Lepisosteus oculatus: one gene and its partner. The protein of the gene in region 1 purifies or fractionates together with the protein of each later gene. This does not show direct contact. Links are inferred from orthologs where the notes say so. Each region holds a gene or a part of one and is shown on either strand. Other genes may lie near its edges.

What was found.
Region 2: the proteins of ppm1kb (region 1) and bckdhb purify together in Homo sapiens (affinity purification with mass spectrometry; 3 studies listed by BioGRID and IntAct, counting the BioPlex papers as one, with this or other methods). This does not show direct contact. The link is inferred for Lepisosteus oculatus from reciprocal best matches to the Homo sapiens genes PPM1K and BCKDHB.

What each region holds. Positions count from the first base shown.
Region 1 is NC_090696.1:72,156,798-72,168,557, reverse strand, and holds the start of ppm1kb (protein phosphatase Mn(2+)-dependent 1K), read right to left. Parts: upstream 4,493-11,760; 5' UTR 4,306-4,492; intron 718-4,305; 5' UTR 626-717; coding exon 189-625; intron 1-188. Other genes in the region: cdkn2a/b (cyclin-dependent kinase 4 inhibitor B), read left to right, coding at 11,721-11,760. UniProt on the Homo sapiens protein: Serine/threonine-protein phosphatase component of macronutrients metabolism.
Region 2 is NC_090697.1:30,783,760-30,796,453, forward strand, and holds the start of bckdhb (2-oxoisovalerate dehydrogenase subunit beta, mitochondrial), read left to right. Parts: upstream 1-8,016; 5' UTR 8,017-8,050; coding exon 8,051-8,249; intron 8,250-9,081; coding exon 9,082-9,159; intron 9,160-11,894; coding exon 11,895-11,963; intron 11,964-12,694. Other genes in the region: dual specificity protein kinase Ttk, read left to right, coding at 287-463, 1,191-1,287, 3,618-3,703, 4,210-4,287. UniProt on the Homo sapiens protein: Together with BCKDHA forms the heterotetrameric E1 subunit of the mitochondrial branched-chain alpha-ketoacid dehydrogenase (BCKD) complex.

The DNA of each region.
Region 1 (11,760 bases):
GGAACCTTCCTTCAGGCCCACTAACAAAGCTCAGGTTTCACGCGACGGGGAGGACTAGAACAGCAATCAGCGACACATCTGCTCCTGCTGATTCACGTTGAAGAGGAAACGTACGAGGACACCAAAATTAAATGAAGGAGGGGACAAAAAAAAACAATCAAGAAGGCGCGTCAGCGTAGGAGACCTACTGGATGTATTTCTCCATGAACTTGTTGCAGAAGTCGGCAGCCACTGGCCCCCCATGCCCATCATACACTGCGAAATAGAGAACGTTCTCGGTCATCTGCGACACCTGGAAGCGGTCCTCATTCTCCCTGCGCTTGCCAATCTGCGAGGCACAGCCCACCTTGGACACGCTCACTTTGGGGATGGGCTTGCCGTATTTGATGCTGGAGGGCATCAGGATGGGCTCGTCGATCCGGTTATCCCAGATCCCGAAGGCATCCCAGGTGGTGGGGCGGCCGCTGCCATCCGGGTCGAACCTGGAATTGCTGAGCCTGGCGGGGGAAACGCAGTGGAAGTGATGCCTGTCCTCCTGCAGGCGCCTGGACGTCGTCAACAGCGCCCGGCTCCGCACTTGCAATCCGCCGGGCCTGAGCAGATTGATCAGTGCGCCTACTGACATCACTCGGCTCCGCGCGGGACAGAGCGGAAGGCGAAACCGCGATTCTGCTCTCCCACGGGTGTCGCGCTTCCTGCGACGCTTTCAAGGGCGCACTGAAAGAAAGGGGAGAAAAGGGAGAGGCAAAAGGGGGACAGTTATGCTCACTGGCCACGATTCGCTGGTCTAAATGAAAAATTGATCAAAATCCCCCGGCAGGCCGTACACCAGCTGGAATTTTCCATCAGGCACACCGGCTGAATCACTGGGAAAAACGCCAGTGCAGGCTGTAATCTCCCCGGAAAGACCGACGACTCTAAGGAATCACACTGGTTTAAAGGCCCACATGATTCGTTTGTTTATATACAATCAAAGACCGCTCCTCCGCGACGGCGTACTACTGCCGTGAAGGCGGGGGCTGGCAGGAAAAGCACACGAGCCTCTGACTGCAGCCCTACAGAAACCTCGCCCAGCGGGAAGTGGTACAATTTCCGTGCCGAAGAAGGCAGAAATGTACCCAAGGTTGAAAGCCACACACATCTGCTGCAAGATCACTCATCATCCACACGTGCCAGATCATCCAAATTTCCCACAGTTCACTAACACACCCAACGGCCGTAACAGTCTACTGATAAAAGAAAAGAAAACAGTGCATCACTCACACCTGTATAGGAATTCTGCCTTCAAAGAAAGTTTAATGCCTGAGACTTGTTTCTGAATAGATTCAGACTGGAAGGGAATAACTGTGTTGAGGTCTCACATATGGCATCTATATTTCTACAAAAAGAAGCCCGGAAAGTTCTTTCATAGGCATTCAATTATGAAAAGAAATATCAGACAGTTTATATACTGTTATATTTACAGTTTGGTTTCTAATTCTTACTTTTCTGCAAAGATTTAAATCTGTTCGTGTGGCCCACAGGGTTGTTGCTAGCCTGGCACAGGTACCTTGTAGCAAGGTACTGTAGGTTTGAGTAAATCCCAGCTTTACTCTCATCATGAGACCTGACCATTCTCATAAAATAAAACCATATACATGCTTCTGCTCGTAAATATTGGGGTACATACGAGTGGTTCCCTTATCGGCAAGGCCTTGAAGACAACTCTACTTTCAACGCAGCTTGTCTTCACAGCAGAGAAAGGTGCAGCAGACTGACTTCTGTACACAGTAGATTTAAAGGCCACCTGCAGTACCACTGATGCTGCGTGGGGTTTTAGAAATATTTTTGATATTCGTGGAGTACACCAGACTTCGTCACGCCCTGGCTACAGACTGATGTTATGGGAGTGGGATTCCATTTAGAGCTATCCCTTCTTTAACAAGAAGCTTGAGAAACAAAGGCTGCACACAAGAACCTGGGACCGACGCGTTATGAAGGTAAAACAAGCTACAAAAAACGGGCATGAGATAAGCGAGCTCTATTTGCGTTTATGCTGCGCTTATTATTCATTTGGCTGATGCCTCTACACAAAGTGATTTAGTATTTGCAGAAATTTGCACGATTGGGCCTTTTACTGAAGCAGTCAGATTGAAAAGCTTTGTTCCAGGGGAGTGCAGCAGTATCCAGCTGGATATCATCCCTTCTTGTGGACTGTTTGAGGACATTAGACATGTGACGCGAATATCAGTTTCTATGTTTCTACGCTGTGGATTAAGTCTAAACTTCACTCGTTCACTGTGTTACTTGAGCAACACAGCAGCAGAAGGAATAAAACACAGACGGTTCAGTAAACAGCCAAATCTGTTTCAACTGCAAACTCAAATGCCTTTTCTCTCCGAGAACACAATAGATGCTCTATAATCATTAACTAAAAACAGGCAAATCCGTGCTCTGAGTACAAATGAGCAAACTGGCTGAATCTCATACATCAAATACAGAAACTTTCAACCTTGGTCCTAGAGAACTGGTGTCTCCAAGTTTCTGTGGTTAATCTGAAGTGTGTTTTGTATCTATCACCTCTGCGAGACACAACAAAAAGCTCATCATGGGACAGTTTGATATAGCACCAACCTTTTGGGTCAGATTCTCATGAACTGATCACTTTACATTCACAGCTGTTCAGTCTCTGCAGGGGGGACTGATTTTAAGGTCTGTATGCTGACGCTACTGAAAACCGTGTCCTTGTACTCTGAGCCGAGTGAAAAAAACAAGTAAACAGTCTAAACAAGCAAACAGATCAATTAATCAATTAGCACTGGTAATTAAGAGCTCAACTAGAAGGAAAATCAGCAGGCACAGCGCTCCGCAGATTACCTAAAGACCACTGAATTGGTTTCGACACCGGTATAAATTTATCAACTAAAAACATTATTTCTGAGAGAACTGTTGAAGGGCGGAGATTATCAGCACTCGGCCACCATGGCAAAATGTCAACCAAAACTACACCTCGGGGGGGAAAAATACCGAGACGTTTGGTCCATTAAAACGTATTAAAAACGTAGATCCTCCCAATCTTGATATTTTAAATAAAACTAATCCAATCCACGAACGATTAAACGTAAACGAGTCGGTTCTTCTAGTGATGATAATGCACCGGGTTGCATCCACCATTTGACCATAAATAAGGGTGACCAGACGTCCTCTTTACACCGGACATGTCCACTTTTTGAGACCGGGGTTTATACAATTCCAACAATTGTCCGGGATTGTGTTTTGCTCGTTAATCAGACTCTAAACAAACACAGCCTACATATTTTCCTTCGTTCCATGCAGTACCGGCAGATGTTTTGAACTTACACACAGGGTGGCTTGAAAGGGGCTTTTGTGTGTTTGGGGGGGGGTGTTTTTATGGCCATGAAAAATAACAATGTTTAACGTGTTTCATTATATTTCAAAATGTTTCGTTAAAACTGATCATTTTTTGCAGCCAATGAAGACTTCTCCTAAATTGTGATGTCTTCATTTTTTCCTCTGGTGTTAAGACTTTTGTTGTGTTCAAATGAAAAAAAAAGTTTAAAATAGGGCTATAATGGCTATAATATACTGTATTTTTGTTTTTTGTTTCTTGTTTGCCATTAAGGAAAAGAAATAGCAACCCTGCAACTGTTTAAAAGTTTACTAAGAAGTTAAATAATTAAAAAAAGATAGTTTAAATGGATTTTTTTAATTAGAAAAAGTAAGAAAAATGCATTACTTTGGAGGCATGTGTCGAGTGTCGATTATCCCCCCGTCCTCTTTTTTGAAAACCAAAACATGGTCACCCTACCCTAAATGCCATTTCGTCAGAGGAACTATTTTGGTTCCGTCCAATCAATTTGATCCAATTTCTGTTCTGGGCTGAGGCCAGGTCTAAGAAAACAGACATTTACGACTCCCGTTTTCTTTTTTTTGGGGGGGGACGTTTGTCAAGATTTCTGAATGACCTGTGCGCAAAGACGTCCTTGACTTAGTTTAGGTAAGTGACGCAACACTTCAGTGGCGCCTCAAGCGGCATTACGCAGTCTCGATGTGGAGCCCGAACATGAATCAATATGTGCCATTCCTCCACGCATCGGCTGTGAGGCCGCTCATTTTTCGTAAACAAAACCCCAGCAAAATTGGGATCGATCCCAATTTTTTGCCCCCCTTGTCTGATCACCAGAGGCATGCAAAACACTAGCCGTCGTCTCAAGCTCCGCTCAGCCCCCTTTTCCAAGATCTAGGCTTCGCCGCCCAGCTCACGGTTTGCAGGTTGGCATTTCCGCAGAAACACGGCCCCCTTACCTTGGTCTCTGAGAAGCAGCCTCCTCGCACCCCTGGGTGATGATAGTATTATTAGTAGTAGTATGGATAACTGTACTCCCGGTCCGTGGCGATTGCTGCAATAGCGAACAATCGCAGGATGCGCACTGTACTCCTTTCAATTACAATGTGGCAGATTGTCGATTACTGAAGGGGGCTCGACCAAGCTGCTGCTTCACTGACGTCGTGATCCGCCAATCGGAGCCCGGCGCCGACCGAGGACAGCCAATCGCCGGGCCTGGTCATTCCCCCGGGAGGCGGGACGTAGCGGTGATTGTCATGTCGAAGGCCCAATCAGCCTCAAAAACGCGCCGGGAGAAAAAGAGAAACAAGACATTTATCCTACATGACGCCGGCTTAGCGGCGGGGCTGCCGTCCTGTTTCATGTGAATGATGGAGAGATAAATGAGGGAGAATGTGAAGTGTGCGGTGCGAGATATTGATATATTCCTCCTCAACGCCCAATGTCCAGAAAGACTTGGCGACATGCTGGCCGAGTGGCTGGTGCAAAGACATGTCTCATTTGTCCGCGAATTACGTTTTAATGAAAGCCTCGTGAAAATAAAAAAATCTCAGGAAAGACACTTTTTCTATCGATTTATTGTGTGCAATTACACATATTACTCAATGCAGAATTGTGGTGCAATTATATCGATGTTAGCTTTGCTCTTTTTTTATCTGATAGCCTGACAAACCAAGGAACATAGCGCATCTCTCCTCTGATTTACAGAAACCAGGCCTTAAACTGCAGTGGGCGTTGTAGGAAATCTCTGATTCTGATTTGTCCGACTGGAGACCAATAATTGAGTGTTAAGCTCCGCCGGTGACGTCTGTTTGGGCTGAATGTCTTTGCTAGGTTAAAGTTTGACTTCTCCGTTTCTTTCCGAGGGGTACACGTCTGTATTGATTTCGGTATTATTGTAGTGAGGCTCCGCTTCCAAAGTCTAAATTAGGGGACCTCTGTCACTGTCCTAGAAAAGGTGTGACAAAATATTTTAACTTATTTGTTCAGTAACGTTGAAGACAATATGTACAGGAAACAAACGGCACCTTCTGAGTTCCTTGATCAGTGCTGATCAGTCCTACTCAGAAAGATTAGCTTGCAAAACTAAATGTCAAAATAAAAACTTTATTGCACGTATTTAAATGACTGATCTACTGCCATCAAGATGATAATAAAGGATTAAGAAAATAATACTTAATTAAACAGCATTATTTATATGCAGAGCATGCTTTTTACATACAGGGAATTGTATTTTCTCAGAAACCCAATCTGAGATAAGATTAAACGCTCAGTAGTTTATAAAACGTTGCCCTTAACACCATTGCGTAGTTAGATTTAGTGTATAATGCCCTCTAGCGGTACAATGTATAACAGAACCTGTTAAGTACTTTAAGGTCAGTGTCTTGGTAACATATTTAAATAATGTGGTAAAACATAGATGGTAAATCAGTGCATCTATAAACTGCAACCATTGTAAATGTTTACCATCATTTGTAATATTGGAATTTCATGAGGAAACCTTACCTTCCCAAGATCTGACCTGTCTTGGTCAGATAACTGCTTTAAGCAGCAGAGTATGTATTTCAATAGGAATTACAAAGGCAGTTGTATAGGTGTAAATTTTCACAGTCGATTTCACGGTTACATCTGTACTTCCTGTGTTGTGTATGAACAGTATTTAAAAGGGCTGCCATTAAAGCTTTGTTAAAAAGGTACAGTTTGGAATCTAGAGTGTCCTGTAATTACAGGCCTATATCTCTTCTTCCATTTTGTGTCAAAGACAGAGGAACATACTGTTGCATTTAAACTATAAAATAGTTTACTACAAACTCTCCTCAAACTCCTTTGGTCTGTAGATTGATCGTTTTCCTTAATTAAGACTTTTGTGTTTCATAGTCAGACATTTTGTGTTGTACCATTAAGGATGTGAAAAAAGAGGAACTCAAGTACTGTGCTGTCATGACATTTTTGAAAGCAGAGAACACAGAATATTTTTTTTATGAAATCTGGTTTAAAGTGATCTCTGAGGTTGGAAAAAATGTCCAGAATCCCTTTCTACCTACATTTTATTTGAAAGGAGTTTTTTTTTTTCAAAACTCGGGTTCTTCCTCTTCAGCTTCCTTATGGAGTATATTTCCTGCATTCTTACTGAAGGCTGAAAGTATCCAAAACTTAGTCTCACCCCCCTTGAGATCACTGTCAGTCCCAAAACTGGTTGGTGGAGTATGGAACAAGCTACCCAGCAATTTTGTTGAAGCCGATGCTCTGGCTTACTTTAAGAATTGGCTGGATGAGATCCTTGAATCAATTAATTACTAATTACCATACAGGCTACATGGCCCGAATGGCCTCTTTTCATCCTGTTTTATGTTCTATCGTTTAATAACGAGCAATGAGTCTGCATCACATGTGAAGCATGACTTGGCTATGCTTTGGTGGGACAGAAGAAAGATTTGCTAATGGTTGTTCCATACCTGAAAAATGCCCAAACACAGGCAAGAATATGAAGAGACTGTGGTGAGATCATAGTAAAAAAAAAACACTCTGAGTTGGAGATTGAATACTTTCCTTGGTGCAGATTTGAATACTTTCCTGAATCATGACATGATGCTATGTACTGTAAAGCAGATACCCTGATGTATCTTTTGGTAAAAGCCTTAGGAAATTCTGAAGCATTTTTGTAATTAATTAAGTACATGTATACATATTGTCCAATGTATTTTTACAATACATTTATTATTTTCTTATTCATGATATTGTCTCACTGTTTACCTTCCTAGGCAAATATATTTATCACATGAATCTCAGCAGTCACACCAGTTTCTTGAAAGATGTCTAGGTACTGGCTTCAACAACAACACATTCATGACAGCTGTGTGTTATTTCCATACCATACTGACAAGGTTTCTTTGGTGGAAGCACTCCCTGATATGGATCCAGTAAAGGTGCACGTAGTGTTTCACACAAGTATATTGAATGTTGGCAGTTTTTTGTTTAATAAATAATGACATTAAAGTAAAATGTGTGTGTTATCTGTCACATGAGATTAGATAAAACTATTGTTAAGGCTTGGTGAGGACTAGATAAAGGTTAGACACCATAAAATCACAATGTGGTGTATATGACTGAGAAAAACCTAGATTCATATATATATATATAAACAGGGATTTTGAATTTAATCTAAACATAATTGTATATTGAATAGAAATATAATTGTTATATTTGAATATACATGAGCTCTAGATATTACACAACATTAAAAAGCAGAACTGTCAGACCACTAATTCCGCTTTGTAACATTTAAAGTCAGCAGCCACAGTGAAACTGCTGTTTCACCTTTACTACTATCTCCAGCTATTAATGTTTGTGTTTGTATATTTATTTCCTTTTAGCAGCCATCAGGAAGAGCTAATTATTTCTAGACTGCCTTAGCTGGTTTAGAGGAGTTGTCTCGATTTAGTTCACTTTGGTTTTAGAGTTGAGACTGTCCTATGAAGCTTCTTTTGTTATCGGAGAATCTTGGTTAGTTTGTATTAAAATTGGTCTTTATATTGTTCGTATGAAAATTGAGAGGACAATTGAGAATAGATTCTCAAATTGATCTTTGTAAACAATTGTAGATCAATAATGTGTGTCTTTCATTTTGAGTTAAGTTTGTAGTTGTTGTAAAAAGCTTTGTGTTTTAAGTTATTTTTCCTTTATTTAACCACCAGAAACAAAGAAATGCGGTGGCCACAATCTGAGTCATTCAAGACTGTGGGCGGAGGTGCCAGTGTCCTTCCTTAATTTGCATTCTAGACAAGCAGGTGTCAGGATCCTGTTTTTAACATTGGTTTGACTTCAGCGATTTACATGATTCCCTCATAAGGTTTTACTATGTATATGCAGAATATCAAAAGATAAATTAATTACAGTAGCAACAGATTCACAAAGTTCTTATCAGGGAAATGGCCATCTGGTTTTGTAGCAGGTACGCGGACATTTCCTCGAACAGACGTGACTGAGATACATTCATGCTACTAATCAACATTTCTCATCAACAGTGCTGATCAGCAGGGCTCAGCTGTGAAAGTCACAAGCTAGGGAGCTGAGAGTTCATGGTTCAGGCAACACAAGCTGCTTGCCCACATGCTTCGTAGCAGTTTGCAGACACTTGTGTGGCTCTGTCTCATTGCTCTCATAGGTTCTGGACAAGCCAGTACCTGGCATTGGCTAAATGTTTTCCCAACTAATTCCAGATATGCACAATAGGTCCCCAGTCTGGGGGGTTGGGCATGAATTAAGTAACTGGCATGGTTCAAATGTCAGACTCTTGTTAAATAAACTCTTTAGTATTGTGTAAATACTAAAAATGTTTCCGTGTCAATTGCAACCAGCATACTGGTGTGTAGCTCTGCAATATATTCTCATGTTCATCGCAACTGACCCTTTTTGACAGTGGCTCATGACCTTGGTCCTAAGGTACCCCTGTTTCCACCAGCTTGTGTTACATCCAAGGTCTAAACCGCAGCCTAACAGACTCAGATTGACTGTCAGAGGTATTTTTAAGGGTGAGTGGGATTTGTCATTGGAATCGATCCCGTATCCATTTGTGAGGATCACAACTTCTCTCGCTCTGTTGTGTGTTAACTTGAGCTTGAAATGTAACCCGTCGTACCTCTGCGGAATGAAAAAGAAAAGCGATGTCTGTGTGATACATTGTCGTGGCCACCTGTATCTGATTCTCCCTAACTCGATGAACTGTTCAGTGCTGTTTAGACAGAAACGAGGCTTGCAAACTCTAAATAAACACGCCAAGGAGAGAAGTTCTGTTTGCAGAACAATACACGTTTGAATCAGGGGAAATGTCGAAGCCGAGGACTCGGCCGAACAAAGTGTTTAAACAAATAAGCAGGTAAATAAAAGGCCTCGTTAAAGAAAGGTGGGGTGAGGAAGATCATACAAATGATTTCCAACGGCAACAGCACTACATTCAGGTCCAACAGCACTTCCTAAAAGGGCCACAGGGTGGCGCTGCTCTCCAGAGCAACATTTTTTGAAACATTGAAAACATTTTCAGACATGAAACATTTTTCTAAAATTAAACTAACCCTAACCCCAAAAAGAAATACAATAAATCTTGATTTATTATTGAATGGGATTAGTGCGTAAGTATAATCTTGTCTGAAAATAATCTAGCACTTCAAAGTTTATTTAGCAATTGTTCACTAATCATAATAAAGGTGTCTAATAAATATGTATGTTTAATACACGAGGTGAAGACATTATTTGCTCGATAACACAGACCTCCCAGAAATTAGCGGATCAATACATGTGAATATATTAATTAGGACCCGTGCTTTATCTAGCACTTGTATCAGGCCAGACTGATTTGGGGCAAAGGAAAAACACCAAAATCTGGGAGGAAGATATTTCTGTGCATATCTCCTGGGAATTTCAGAGAATCGCGATTATTCAGCTATTTAAATTTGACCAAACAATGTACGCGTGTCCACTTGATACTCAAATACCATTTTGGACATTATTGGATTTTTTTTGTGCCCTCTGGATGTTTCGTTCGATATACACATTCAGATTTATCCATTTAATACAAAAGTCATTATTTAAAAAAAAATGTTTTCTATATCTAAAATATAAAATACGATCTTTAGAACATATTGAAAACCATAGTCAAATACTGCAAAAGATTTCTATAAAAATGAAGCTCATTACGTGTCTAATGTTTTAAATGTATTTAACTGCATATATAAATAATTTAATTAGGGTTCTTATTATCATTTATTCTTGAGTGTAGATAGCGTAATTTTCCAAAAGCATTCTGGCATAAATACATGCATGTAAGAAGAACATTTCTAATATGATTAACTCAATTAACTCAATACAGAAAACATTACATTTTATTTGGACACGCGTATTTAGTGTTTTATCTAAAGATATTTTTAAACTTGATGTTCTGCGACACGTTTTGATCAATTTTAAATGATAAAATAATACTTTGCTAAATAAATGGCTAAATACCGTCATTGGTACCGTATCGGGCTAGAAGCTAAAAGTTGCGCAATTTTTATATACTGATTTCTAAAAGCCCAAAAGATCAATCAAACATACACCGTGTCATATTTCAAATTAAACCTTGTTATTCAACATTTAAGATGATTATTGTTTCTTGTGAGGACATCAACATTTCCAAAAGGCTAGGATTTTTTCCCATTATTTAAAATAAAGCTAGATTGAACAAGAAACGTCACAACTTCTCGCGGTTAATTTACAAGTTGAACAACATTGTGTGACTGGCAGATATGGAACTATTCCTTTGAGATATTTTCTTGATTTACTTTGAATCATTAGACTGCACAGACTCCAGAAATTTCGAAAAACTATTAGAACTGAAACATTTTAGTGGAGAACGAAGACATAATTTGAAGGGACAATTGAGATAAAGAAACATTTTAGACTCTAGAAATCTCTTCATTGGTGATTCACCCGATCTGAACTCGCAAATGTAGTTTACTAACAATGCTTTTATCACAGAATATTAATATAGAAGAAATGGCATTGTGCCAAAAAAAACTAAAAAAACTTCTCCATATTTGAACATACGTTTAGGCTGCATCAATTTAAATCATCGTATTTAAAAATGTCATCTAAAGATCCGTAGAAAAGCCTCGTTTTCTGCGCCAGTCTGTCTTTTATGTCACTATCACTTAGATTTAATGGCGAGGAATCCTTTCATAAATGACAGTAGCCAACCAAAAACACTCTCTGTGAAGAAACGCAAGAAATGCAACCAGACGCTCCCGTCTCGGTTGGAGCGGATTAAACTACTGTAGCTAAACCGAACATCTGCATCACAGCGCAGGCATGGGAGCGATGAGCGAAACGCGGTCGTGTCCAGTAGCCTCACATGAAATATGTCTGTACTGCATGGGCTGTACTATCAACGGACTAGCTTTTCCCTAGCTGAAGGAGGAGGTTGGTCAAATAAAATGTAAAGGTCTGTCGTGTTGCCCGGTACGTCATGGACGGGACAACATTCTCGTTTAGCCTATCAGCCGGCCTTCCCCTTCCTGGTGTACTTGACATTGGGCGTGCGCAGTGATACTCTCAATAGGAGGAGTTTGGCAGTTCTCGTCTCCAGTTCAGACAAGACAAGTCAGAACAAATACCCCTTAACTCCAAGGCGACACTACAAGAAATCCCGATTTGACGGTCCCAGTTTCATGTAGACCTGACCCTAGCAGAGACGGAAATACTGGACGTTCATGCGGGATTTGCTTCAGGCGTTTTTACATCGCGATGCACTTTGCGAAACTACGACCTGTCAAATGAAGTATCAGTTTTAGTACCGGTTCTGGGAAAAAGGACTTGCGCGATTTCTTTTTTTTTGTTCACCATGAGCTCTGGAGATATCTTGTCATCTGCCGCAGCCACTG
Region 2 (12,694 bases), on another chromosome or scaffold:
ATCTGAAATTGAGAATGTCTCCAGGACCTTCTGCTGTTTGAGTATCAGTGTGGAGGAGGAAGCTACAGGAGGCAGGTTGCAATCCTGACCAAACAGATTTTGCCCTTAATTATTACAGAGTGCTAGTCATTGAAAGCATTAGTGAGTGTAGCACATGAGGCACAGGGGTCACAGTAACGGAAACAGCAGTCGACTTCTGAGGAACACAACATGACAATGTTTCTGGACACAAGCAGTAATTCATTATGAATGTGCTATACTAATGACTGTTTTTGTTCGTTCTTAGATCAGTCCTAAAAGTGATGTTTGGTCACTTGGATGCATTTTATATTGCATGACCTATAGAAAGACTCCATTTCAACACATTACGCACCAGATTGCAAAACTGCAAGCCATAATTGACCCGTCTCATGAAATTGAGTTTCCGGAAATTTCAGAAAAGGACCTTCAGGATGTCCTCAAGGTATGCATTTTAGTTCTCGAGTTCATTTGCCTTTTCTTACCAGCTACACAACATAAATACACAATGTGCAACAGTTCAGCCTCATTTTTTCCATCTTGTTCATGGGAGCTATAAAAATGGGGTGTCTTGTTGGTTTAAGGAGGGGGGGTAAAGTGATCACCTCTACTTATCCATATTGGAGAGAGATTTGAGATGAATAAGTATTCTGCTGCAAAGTTCATCATCTGGAAGTGGAAAATCATCTCCGCCTACTGGTGGGAAAAGTGCTGTTAAAAAGTGCTAGTGATGAAGTTTCCTGCAGTTGGTCCAGTCCTTTAGCTCCCAAATTGAATCATAGACAAAGTCATTTCATTTGTTTGAATTTGTTCAATAATGTTAAGCAGAAGTGCAGATTAGTGTTTCTGTAGTTGTAATTTTATTTTCAGATGTAGCCATCCCTTTCTGGTTATTTTTAGAGAAAATATAAACCTCTTAAATGTAGAACTCTGTTGAACTTATGAGACGGAATTATATTTTTTTAAATTGATGTCCCTATTTCAGTAACTTTTATTTAAAATGTATTGTTCCGGTGTTATTCAATACATTCTCTGTTTTCATTCTGATTTCATTTCATGTGAAATGCACTGGTAATATGAGCTGGATATCAAATAGTTAAGCAAAGGTGTGAAATGTAGTATGACATTTTTGAACAAGGAACAAGAATAAACAAACATTTCCTGTTTCATAGCGGTGCTTGGTACGCAATCCAAAAGAGAGAATCTCCATTGCAGAACTTCTTGCGCATCCATATCTCCAGCTGCAGCCACAGCCCACACCCGAACCAGGTAATACAGCTATTGAAGTTAGTCACTTTATCAGAAAGGCTGGTTTGCAGTTTTCTTGAGGGGGGGGAAGACCCATATAATATGCATGCTTAGTTTGTTATAGTGGGAGGAGATTAATAAAAATCCTTTTGTCACCCATTTTCTGAGCCTGGTCAACATGTTGGTTTACAAAATGGGTGGGGTTCAGAGAACTTCTTGAACATTTAAGAAGTAAAATGGACAGTGGCAGGTGTTGTATAAATAGGTGAAATCATTTTGTTTCTGAGTTCTTAAAAGCCATTGCTAAATGCTGTTATTACAATTTGAAACATCGTGGAATTTGTAGTTGGGGGGCTAATGGGTTTAAAACATCACATTTCATTGAGTTGTCCATGAATATACTTAATGTTTCAAGTCACTTGCTGTTCTGTGAGTTACTTGTGACCGTGCAGGACCAAGTAATGTTCTAGAAAGTAATACTGGAGATGTTTTGTAATGTTAATTATTAATAATATACACAGGCTATCAAAAGTATTTAGCCCCTTTGGAATTTTGTGCATTGTTACAATATAGAACCATAATGTATTAAATTGGGAGTTTTTGCTATTGATTTGAAAGAAAACACTCTACAGATTATACTACAGATTCTCCTAAGTTAATTATAAAATAGAAAATGACTGAGTATTCACCCCTTTGAGACAATATTTGGTAGAGGCATCCTACCAACTGACACTCATAAGTCTTTTTGAATACGTTTCTACTGGCTTTTTACATTGCAGTTTTTGTCTGTTCTTGTTTGTAAAATTGCTGAAACTCTCTCAGGTTGGATGGGAACTGATGAACAGTAATTTTCAACTCCTGCCAATGACTTTTGATTGGGTTGAGGTCCAGGCTTTGGCTGTATGTTTTGGGCCGTTGTGCTTCTGGATGATGAAGCTTCTTCCCAGTTCCATGTGTGTTGCAGGCTGCAGTAGGCTTTCCTGCAGGATTTCTCTGTACTCTCCTCCTGTCTTCACAACTCTTCCAGGCCCTGATATAGCGAAGCTTCCCCATAACGTAATACTGCCACCATCATGCTTCACAGTAGGGATGCTGCTATGCTTGCGCCAAACATAGTTTACCGTTGAGGTCAAGAAGATTTATTTTGGTCTTGTTAGGCCATAGAATTTTCTCAGTTTCTCCCTCTTGCCTTCTGGCAAAGTAATCAAGGTTTGATGGGAGTTTTTTGTCACTTTCCCATGAAGCTGAAAGTTGTGTAGCACCCAGGCACTTGTCATATGCCCAGTTAATCCCATCTCAGCCATGAAAGACTGTAATTCCTTTAAAGTCGTGACATGGCTCTTGGTGGCCTCTCCGACTAGTGCTCTTCTCACCTGGATACTCAGTTTTTGAGGACACCCCGTTTTTCAGTTTCACAGTTGTACCCTATTTTCTGCATTTGGTATAGTGGTCTTTGCTGTGCTTTGGGGGATATGTACTGCCTTGGAAATTTTCTTGTATCCTTCCCCTGCTTGGTGCTTTTCAATAATCCTATCCCAAAACTATCCCAGTTCTTCTTTGACTGTTCCTTTGTCTTAATGATGTACAGTAGTTTTTGTTGGGTGTTGTACTATTCAACTTTGGGACCTCCCAGTGATAGGTGTATATTTACCCTGAGTTCATGTGAAACAGGTGGGCTCTATTCAACAAATTGTGACTTCTAAAGACACTTGGTTGGACCTGAGCCTATTTAAGTGTATCATAGCAAAGGTGACAAATATTTATGCAATAACTTATGTTCTGTTTTATATTTATAGAATATATTTCTGAAAATATAATTTTTTTCACTTTATTTTGACATTATTGTCAATTATTGTCAATCAATGGCAAATAATCCCATATAAATATATTGTGATTCCTTGTTGTAACACTGTAAGATATAACATCCGGGGGGGTGAATACTTTTGATAGCCACTGTATCACTTGGTATAGGTCACCCTTCCGTAATATCTCAAAAAACTGTATTCTAGAAATTGCTTAAGCCTGGTGCTTTGGATTAGAGCACTGAAACAATCTCTGGAGGCCAATTATGGAAACAAATAATGGACAGATCACATGCTTTCAATACCCTGAGATTTGTAAAAGTGAAATGAATGCATGAAATTCACTTGATTAGACAAACTATAGTTATAAGTCGTATAACTTAAATAGGGTGACTTATTTATGCAGGCAATTTAAAATCTATATTTTAGTCCAAATCTGGACCTTCTGCAATGGATGAAAGCATTTCTTTTTATGAGTTTGGCTGTGCTATTTGTGTATCTAATTACTAGAAACGATGCACAAAATTAACCTTGCTTCATTTTCTACAGTTCAGTTCAACAGTCAAGAACTGAAACAAATCTTCAGCAGTCTTGCAGCTTTAAATTCACCAAACAGCATTTCAAGAGCTGCCAATGTAAGTATTAATGCAAGTTTTAATGACATTTTCAGCTTATACTGACGTCTCAATGGAAGGTGTAAATTAGTTTATCAGTGACATAAAGGACTATAGTATTGTTGACTGTTGGCTTAAAAAGGTTCTAATGGTGTAATTGATATCTCTGTGTAAACTGTTGATTCAAAGGGACTCCGTAGTGATGCAGTACTTTATTAAAAATGACATGCATTGTGAGAAAGTCTCTCACAGATGTAATTAGTCTAGGAGATACATCTGTCTTCAGGGTAAGAGCAAGGACACAGTTCCCAGGAAAACGTGCTGTGTGTTAGTCCAAGAAGAGCAGACTACAGTAGGCTCATTGTATATAACAGTAATTAACCCACGAACAGTTCTTGAGCTTAAAAGTCACACCCCTGAAATGTACATAATGCAATTTTATGGTTAACTTTGCCTCTCCTATATGTAATATAAAACCTGTATGTCAGGGTATTGCAATTAACCTAATAACCTTTTTTTTCTTTTAGAACTTGGCAAAGATGTGCAGCACTGGCAAAAAATTTGACCCGTCTGAATGCGTGAAACCTTCTACTAACTCCTCCTGAGACCAGGATGGCTGTGACCGTTGCGGAAACTTATGAACATTTCTTACATCTTTTCTGTCAGTCAATCATTGCTTTTTTAAATTACACTTCTCAGAACCCTCAACAGGGATCTTATCAGCAGCTCCTCGTTGTTTAGATTTCTGACTACTGCTCTTGGATGTTTCCGTAAAGGTTTTTATTCTCAGTTATGGTGTATTTCTCACATGTGAACACTTTGCTGTACAGTTGTTGGAGATCTACACCCAGAAAGAGCTGGTGTAGGGTTATAAACCATTATAAAACAAGATGTACTCTAATTGACAAACATCCTACATAATCATATTTGGGATATTTAGCTACTTCATCTCACTCGCCATTTTTTGTAAATGCATATGTTAAATAAAACAATGTTCTTTGTAAGCCGCCTGTTATTTTTTCAGGGGGTACCAATTTATACCAGTTTTCCATGTGAAAGCATTTGGCTCAGTTCTTGTATAATTGTGCAAATTGGATAGAAAGCTCAATATAATCATCTTAAGTGTTTATTAATAGTGTATTGTAAGCCTAAATGTACCTTCATAAATGCATTTTAATCCAGTATTGTTCATTAGCAGTATTGTTTAATGGAACAAGTAAAGGTTTATTCCATGCTAAAAAGAGAAAAAAGGAAACAATGTTTTGGCTGAAGAGCCTTCTTCGGGTATGAGGATGTTCTGTAAAATACCGTATTATCATACCAGTTCATAGGTTTGTCACGTTAGAAAACTCAACCACATTTATGCAAATGTGATGCAATTCATGAGATACCAAACATTCTCAAATTAATATGGTAGATAGAATTAGTAAATAAGAAAAGATAAGATGGTCACTAGAGTCCTAATGTCTTAAAACAGTGGACTAACCAGCAGTCATTCCATGAGTAACTAATTCAGAAATCTAGTAAACTGAAAATCGAGATCAGATTGGGTTTCAGGACCACACAAATGGATAAGCAATGACAGACCTTGTTCGTACATGTCTGAGGTCATGGTGTACTGAAGGAGCCTTCAGCTTTTTAGGACCCTGGAAAGCTGTGAAAAAGCTTAGTGTGATGAACATTTTAAATAAATGGATCTACAAAGAAGGTAAATCTATAGAATGGAGAGCAGGGAGTTAAACTGTAAGGACTCTACAGTTAAGTACTTGTATCTAAATGACAGACATGTTCATAAAGATAAATGTAGGAACACAAACTGCTGCATCAGTATATGACTGATGTGAATGATTGCTTGCATTTATATAGCTCTTTTCATTCCAAAAGGCTTCACATGTAAGGGGATCTACTGCATCCATCACTGAATTGCAAAACACTCATCTGGGTATTGCATGACAGCCTGTTTGTGCCAGCAGCCACACTATACAGCAAATAAGGTGGAAATGTGTGACATTATTTTACCAATTGAATTAAGAAGGAAATTTGGTCAGGCTGTGTAAGCCCAAAATGGAATCCCCACTCTGTTTATTTAGAGAATCTTGCTTAACTAAGCAAATAAACTTCTTTTAACAAGCAACAGCAGTAACAGTTTCAAACAGAGCATATACAAATTTGCCACAAGCTCAAGGATATCTAGTCAAATATCCACTCCTGGACGAGTGAAAATCAGATTTTATAGCAGTGTGATTTCCAGATCTTTACTGGAAGCTTGTGCTACTATATGGTACGTTTAGGGAAAACATAACCAAATTAATGAAGAACAAGAAAACAGACTGAGTTATTACGACACATCTTCAAAAATGGATACCTCATTCATGAAATGAGGTTATTGGACACTGGATTAAATTAAGGGGAGAGAGTGGAGCTGTGGATTTATTTAAACTACCTTCTGAAATCTACCACGTAGTGTTTGCCACTCAAGTTTTCTTTTCAGGGGTAAAAGGTTGCATTCTATTTAGCATCAGTTAAGAGGGCAGACTAACTTGTGGAGAACTAAATATTTTAAGAAAATTAGTTTACGTATCCTTATGAAGATAAGGTTTAAGGTTATCACTGTAAAGGATCTAATTGGAAAGGCTAGATGCAATATATTTTGGCTCTAAGATCTCATTTCAATTGTAAATATCAGTTATGTTTTTATGTCTTGTCCGTAGTTCTGTTTAATAAATACTGTACATGTCTTTTAAGCTATTGCTTGTTTATTTCTCCACCATTCAATAAAAATGTTAAGCCTTTTTTTATTAAATTGCTTGTACTGATTCTGGTCCCAGGACCTAGATTTTGAAAAGTCTCATGGTGATATTCTACATAAAATATTAATTTCTAAACTGATAGCTGTAGCCATCATTGAAACTGACTGAGAACAGGTCAACAAACAGCAGTACAGATAAGTGATAAATGTTCAGAGCAGTCTTATTAATAGAATACCCCAGAGATGTGTTTTAGCACCACCGATGCATATCAATGATGTACTGTATCCTGGTATAGAGCAGAATCGTGGTGTGACACTACTGCTGCCTCCCAACTCTTTCAGAGTTCCTATTTCAGTTCTGGAATGAGATGCCTTTTATATTCAGTTGACAGCTCCTTGTGTTTTTTTCCTCTTTCCAATGATATGCTGTTTAGGTTGAGATACACTGCTATCACTATCTGCTATGTAGGGGTGTAACCCTGGTGTCCTGGCCAAATTTCCCATTGGCCCTTACCAATCATGGCCTCCTAATAATCCCCATCTCTGAATTGGCTTCATCACTCTGCTCTCCTCCCCACAGAGCTGGTGTGTGGTGAGCGTTCTGGTGAACAATGGCTGCAGGTGCATCATCCAGGTGGGGCTGCACAATGGTGGTGGTGGAGGGGAGTCCCCATTACCTGTAAAGCACTTTGAGTGCTATATAAGTGTAAGCAATTATTATTATTAATATCACTTCCAGAATGCTGACTCACGTTACCATTAGTATGCAACTTTCTGATGATGGGTGGATTCTGGTATAGATAAAAAAAAACTAGGAGCAGCAAGGGGGTTCAAAATATTAAAATACAGAATATGACTTTATAAAGTTGTCAGGTGATGTAATGTACACAAGTGGAGGCACACGGGTAGGAAAAAAACATCCACATAAAAATGGTAAGCAACTTAAAAGATATTAAAGATATAATGATGTGTTTCAGAAAGACATTGGTGCCGTATACTCAGTGCAAGGAAGAGCGTCAGAGGTGCATTCGCAAGCTTAAAGGCATGTCCTGCACTCACGGGTTAACAACTCAATACATTTAAGTTTCGAACAGAAAATACTATAATGGGGACCTGAATGCATTTAATGTTAGAACCTCACATGCTGCTGATAAGGATCCCTAGAGACGAGCCTTTTTAGGTACTTTTGTTTGGAACCTGAGTTCAAAATCCTTAAAAGTGAAACACAAAGTGGAAATCGAGAAGTAAAATTAAATCTGAGAACAGGGGTTGTTACTTTGCATAAAGGTGACAAATGGCAGGCATCGTGGGCCAGCAGGTTTATTCTGACACTTCTATTACAACTAGTAATAATCCCACCAATACTGTATATCCAATAGATGTATCAAAACCATGAAACACTGGCGATGTCTACTGCCGCACTTCCGCTTGGGTCCAGGGTAACCTTTCGTCCGTTGCATAGATACGCTGGAGCTTGAAAATGACGTTCCATCAGCATTCCCGTGAACCGGTCATCCACGTGTGGGGAGAAAAACCTCCGCCCTCCTTTTCCGCCAACCAGAGCGCAGTATGCCTGGTCCCGCCCTCGGAGGTTGTTTCTCTTCCTGGTTCCAACAACAATGGCGGCCGTGGCTCGGTTCTTGCAGAGAAGTGCAGGCTCTTGCAAAGCCACTATCCACAATATCAACAGTGTTTTGCTCTGCCGATTTGGGGGTGTGTCGCTTAAACTGGTCCCCAGTTGTGATTCCCATTTGAAAATACAGAAACGGCATGCTGCCCACTTCACTTTTCAGGCTGACCCAACACCAACTCAGCATGGTAAGACTAGTTGAGGCGCCCTTGCTCTATTTACATAGAGGACAGACTGTTGGACGCACTAAGTGTTAATGCTATATTCTTTAGGTGGATGCGTTTTAACAGAAGTCAGATATTATTTCTCGTATTATGCAATTTCTTCGAAATAAAACATGCTCGGCTTCAAAGTAATTGTGTCTTAAAATCTATATAGCTCCTGGGAATGACATATCCTAAAGGTTTTAATATTAATTTATGTTTTTTTAAATAAAAATTGCCATTGAGGTCCCATTTTTCACATGATATTGACTTTTTAAACGCTAGCAAGTTGTGAAGCTCCACTAAACAAAGTGAAGTTTCTTTTTAGTGGACAGATATGGAACCTGAAGATTATACCTGAAATTTTACTCGAGAAGACGGTTAAGTAGATAAATATATTTGAAGTACAGAATTCTTGATTTTACTACGCTTTATTTTGCGAAATATTTTTGTTGTGCTGTATTCTCAATCAATCTGATCAATCTGGCATTCAAAACCTCAGCTTCTCTTGAGTTTTAAAAAGGTAAAAAAAATGTTGATCTAAATTATTCCTGTTTTGAAGCAAAAGTAAATGTTGTGGCAATTAAATACTGCACGAGAAGTGTAATGTGTCTTTTTTAAGAACATGAATGACAGCAAATCTTAGTTTTTGCTAGATTTCCTCTGCGGAAATAGCTTATTGATGAATTCATTTAAGTCCCTGAATGTGATCATTAAACATGGTGATTATTCTGAAAAATGTCCTGTTAATTTGGGCAAAGACAATCAGGTATTTTTGATTATTTCTAATGTTATTGTTTTATATTCTTAATTCTAGGTCAGACCCAAAAAATGAATTTTTTCCAATCAATAACGAGTGCCTTGGACAACACCCTTGCCAATGACCCCACTGCAGGTATTGTACAGGATGTGACGGCTCATTTTGCTGAGTTTGCATTAAACTGCTGACTTGCAGATTACCAAGTTAAAGAATGAAACCTAATCAAAATGCTGTATACTTATAAAATGTGCTTTTGTTGTGAACTGAGCTGTATGAAACATGACGTCATTTAACTTTCCCTAAGGCCTGAATCTTAAAAAAGTTTAACTGCTGTTTGTCTCTTTAGTGGTGTATTACTTTGTTTTAGCTTCGACTGGCAAAGTGCACTACTAGAATTCAGTTTTGCAATGATGTTGTGACCGCACAGTACTTAACATATTTGGGTGATTTATGGTACACAACTATTTGTCCTTCATTTAGCATTAGAACTGAATTGATATTTAGCACCTTTGTGTTTTGATCTAGTATTAAAAAAAAGCTGCCTTAGGAATGCATTTACCCCTTACCAATTATAAAACAATCAAATAGAATATTTAAAGCTGTGCAGAAATTTTGAATTTAGGAAGCAAGTCCGCCTAAGATCATAAATTTACAGGAGAGATATTGATTAAAATGTTTCTGCTTTTTATCTCAGCAATTCTATATTCAATCTGTATTAAGCATGACATACAGATAACCAGCGCACAAGTAATTAGATTTTGTTTATAAAAATAGGTAACTTTTGTTATGATTATATTTTTGTCCTAAAACCTACTTCATATTACTACTATGTGGGGACTAGTAAAATAGTTGTAATTTTACACACAGCAGGCATGGTAGCCTAGTATGAATTGTTCAAATGGTCATAATTAAAAAGCAGGACTGGGCCTGAAATGCGACACAAATAGTCGTGAATATTTATTTTTTGTCTCTACTGTGCAATGTGGTTTGACATTTTTGCAGCTTCAACCAATTTGCAAGAATGGTTGCTGATACACGCTGGTCATTATTTTTTTCTGAACCAACAAGATAGACTTATGTTATTACACGATTTGATTTAGAAATTGTAACCTTGGATTAAGATATCTTGTAAACAATTAAAAAATAATATTTGGACAAAAAAGTAGCTAAATATAAGGGAAAATGTGAACTTTGTATTCCAACTACATTCTTGGGACCAGTCCTTCATGAAAGACTGTTTTGCCCCAGTATCATATTTGATGGTGGGGAGTGTACTCACAACCTTTGGAAAATTTGCCAATAAAAGGTTGCCTTTATCACAAGCTAAGTTATCCTGTAGCTTCTATCCAGCATGTTTTGATTATTGTTTAGCACTCTAAGACTTCAATTTGATCGTATAGAATTATAGCCACACCTCATTTTATGTTTGTTTTTATCTGACATGACAGCTTAATTTTACTGACTGTGACAGTGCTTTAAGTCTTAGCAGGGTATTCTGAATGACTGCTCTTTCAGTCATGCTGGATTTTAGCTGGCTGATGAGAAACGGAGTTGGTGCATGTACTCCATTCTCCATAGTGTCTTAATTTGTTCATTGACTGTCTTAATTGATGTGGGTCTGGAGTCCCTGTGAAATGACTATAAGACTGCAAACAGATGATATTTTGTGTATTTTAGATCCTTAAGCATTTTGTGCAAGTGATGAAATTATAGCTCTGTGGTATCAATTGTCCCTCTTTCTAGTCCGGTAATCGTTGCATAGCTGTTGTTAAATGTTACAGCTGTTTGATGTCACATAGTTAAATAAAGTGGCACAGACTGTGTTGAGAAAACCAAGATTCTGTTGTTTAGTGACTTCATCGTCAGAGGCTATGTCAATGATTATTTTTTAAATAGGCACTGGCAACAGTTTTAATTTATCCAGAAGCGTGTGGCTGACATGAAAAGAAAAAAAAAGTTATGCCATCTCATAGTTATGAGAAAATGAGTATTTCTCAGTAGTCCATTATTGCGTACTTTATGTGATAATCACACGATAGCCCACGATTCCCTTGATGTCAGCGATGCAGTTCCAGAAATGTAAGACCTAGTCCAAAACAAAATTCATTGCTTATGTTTGCAGATTTCTAGTGGGAGTAGGAATAGTTGAATGTTCCAAGAGCACATTAATTCATGATTTTACTTTCAGGTAGGGGTTGTTCCTTCTATTGCTTGAGATAAGCTATCATTTGCTTAAGATATCATTAGCTATTGTATATAGAAAATTACTTCAAAGAGCAGTTTGGTCTAGAGGTTGTGAGGATTTATATAACCATAACCATCACAGTTATCTCACTCAGGCAAAATAAAATTGGATGTTTCCCAAATGCTCCTCTTTACAAATTCCTTTGCCACTTAGCAATGCTTAATTACTTTTAAAATCACTGATGAAAAGGGTCGTTTTTCTGACAGGAATAGTTTGATGTTTCTTTCTCCAGTTTGGTTTATAAGATAGACAATGTTTTGTCAAATTAAATGACAGTTCTATATTGTTTATGTTTACAGTGTGAATACTCTGCTACTGCGTTTTTATTTCTTAGTTACACATTGAAAGGGTATTGCCATTTTGTAGATTTATTCATAAAATAAAATGTGCTATTTATGAACAGAAATCACTTTGGATCTTGTCTGAATGCAGGTGGATGGTAACCACTAAAAGCCTTATGGGCTTATCGGTTCAGGTTTTGTGGAGGGTCTCTAAACACTAAGAATCAAATAAGTGTGGCAGAAGGTTTACTTTGTTGCTGAATTTTATGTAAATTTACAATTTTGCCTACTTTACTACTCTCTACCATACAGTTCTAATGTGTGTTCATTTTTTTGCTTTTCAGTCATCTTTGGAGAAGATGTTGCTTTTGGAGGTGTCTTCAGATGCACTGTTGGTTTGCGAGATAAATACGGTATGTATTTTCGAAGTAAGATGCTGCAATTTGTGTCATCTAATTTCTAGTGCTTTTTTTGACAGTGAATGTACTGTATAAACTATAAACCAAAGTATACAAAAACTATTTTGCACTGCACTCTGGTTTATTTTTTTGATGCTTTAAGTTCAAGACTTGTGGCAGTTTGAGACAGTTGTGTCTCTATGAAGTTGGTTTTGAGATGTGTGCCATTTTTCCTTCAGCTGGTAAAATTTAATTGTATATAGATCAACAAACGCTGTTTCTTTCTTCTATTTGTACAGTAGTGATTACATGATCATTTTCTCCTAGATATACTGTATTTTTAAAAATCAATACATTTCTCACTGTATCCACACCCCATCAAGAAAATAGTACCCATTATCTCAACAACTGCATTTCTGAAAAATGAGTTGTTGAGTTTTATGACCTTATGATGGTTTTCTGAAAGTATGTGTTGAGCCTATTCATAATTGGATCACTTATTCCCCAGATAGTTTCAGATACATAAGTGGTAATTGCAGTGGCAATTACGACCCTGTTATTTGAGAACCCCTGATCTGGAATTGAACCCAGGGCACCAGTGCTTACCACTGCATCACCCTGTAACCTTTCTTGTGTTCTTAGATTTATTTTATGTCTTCTTTATGTAGCCTTTTTTATTCAGGAATGTTTAAGCAACAGTTATTGTCCTAAAAATTAAGTTATTACATATCATATATATTTATATT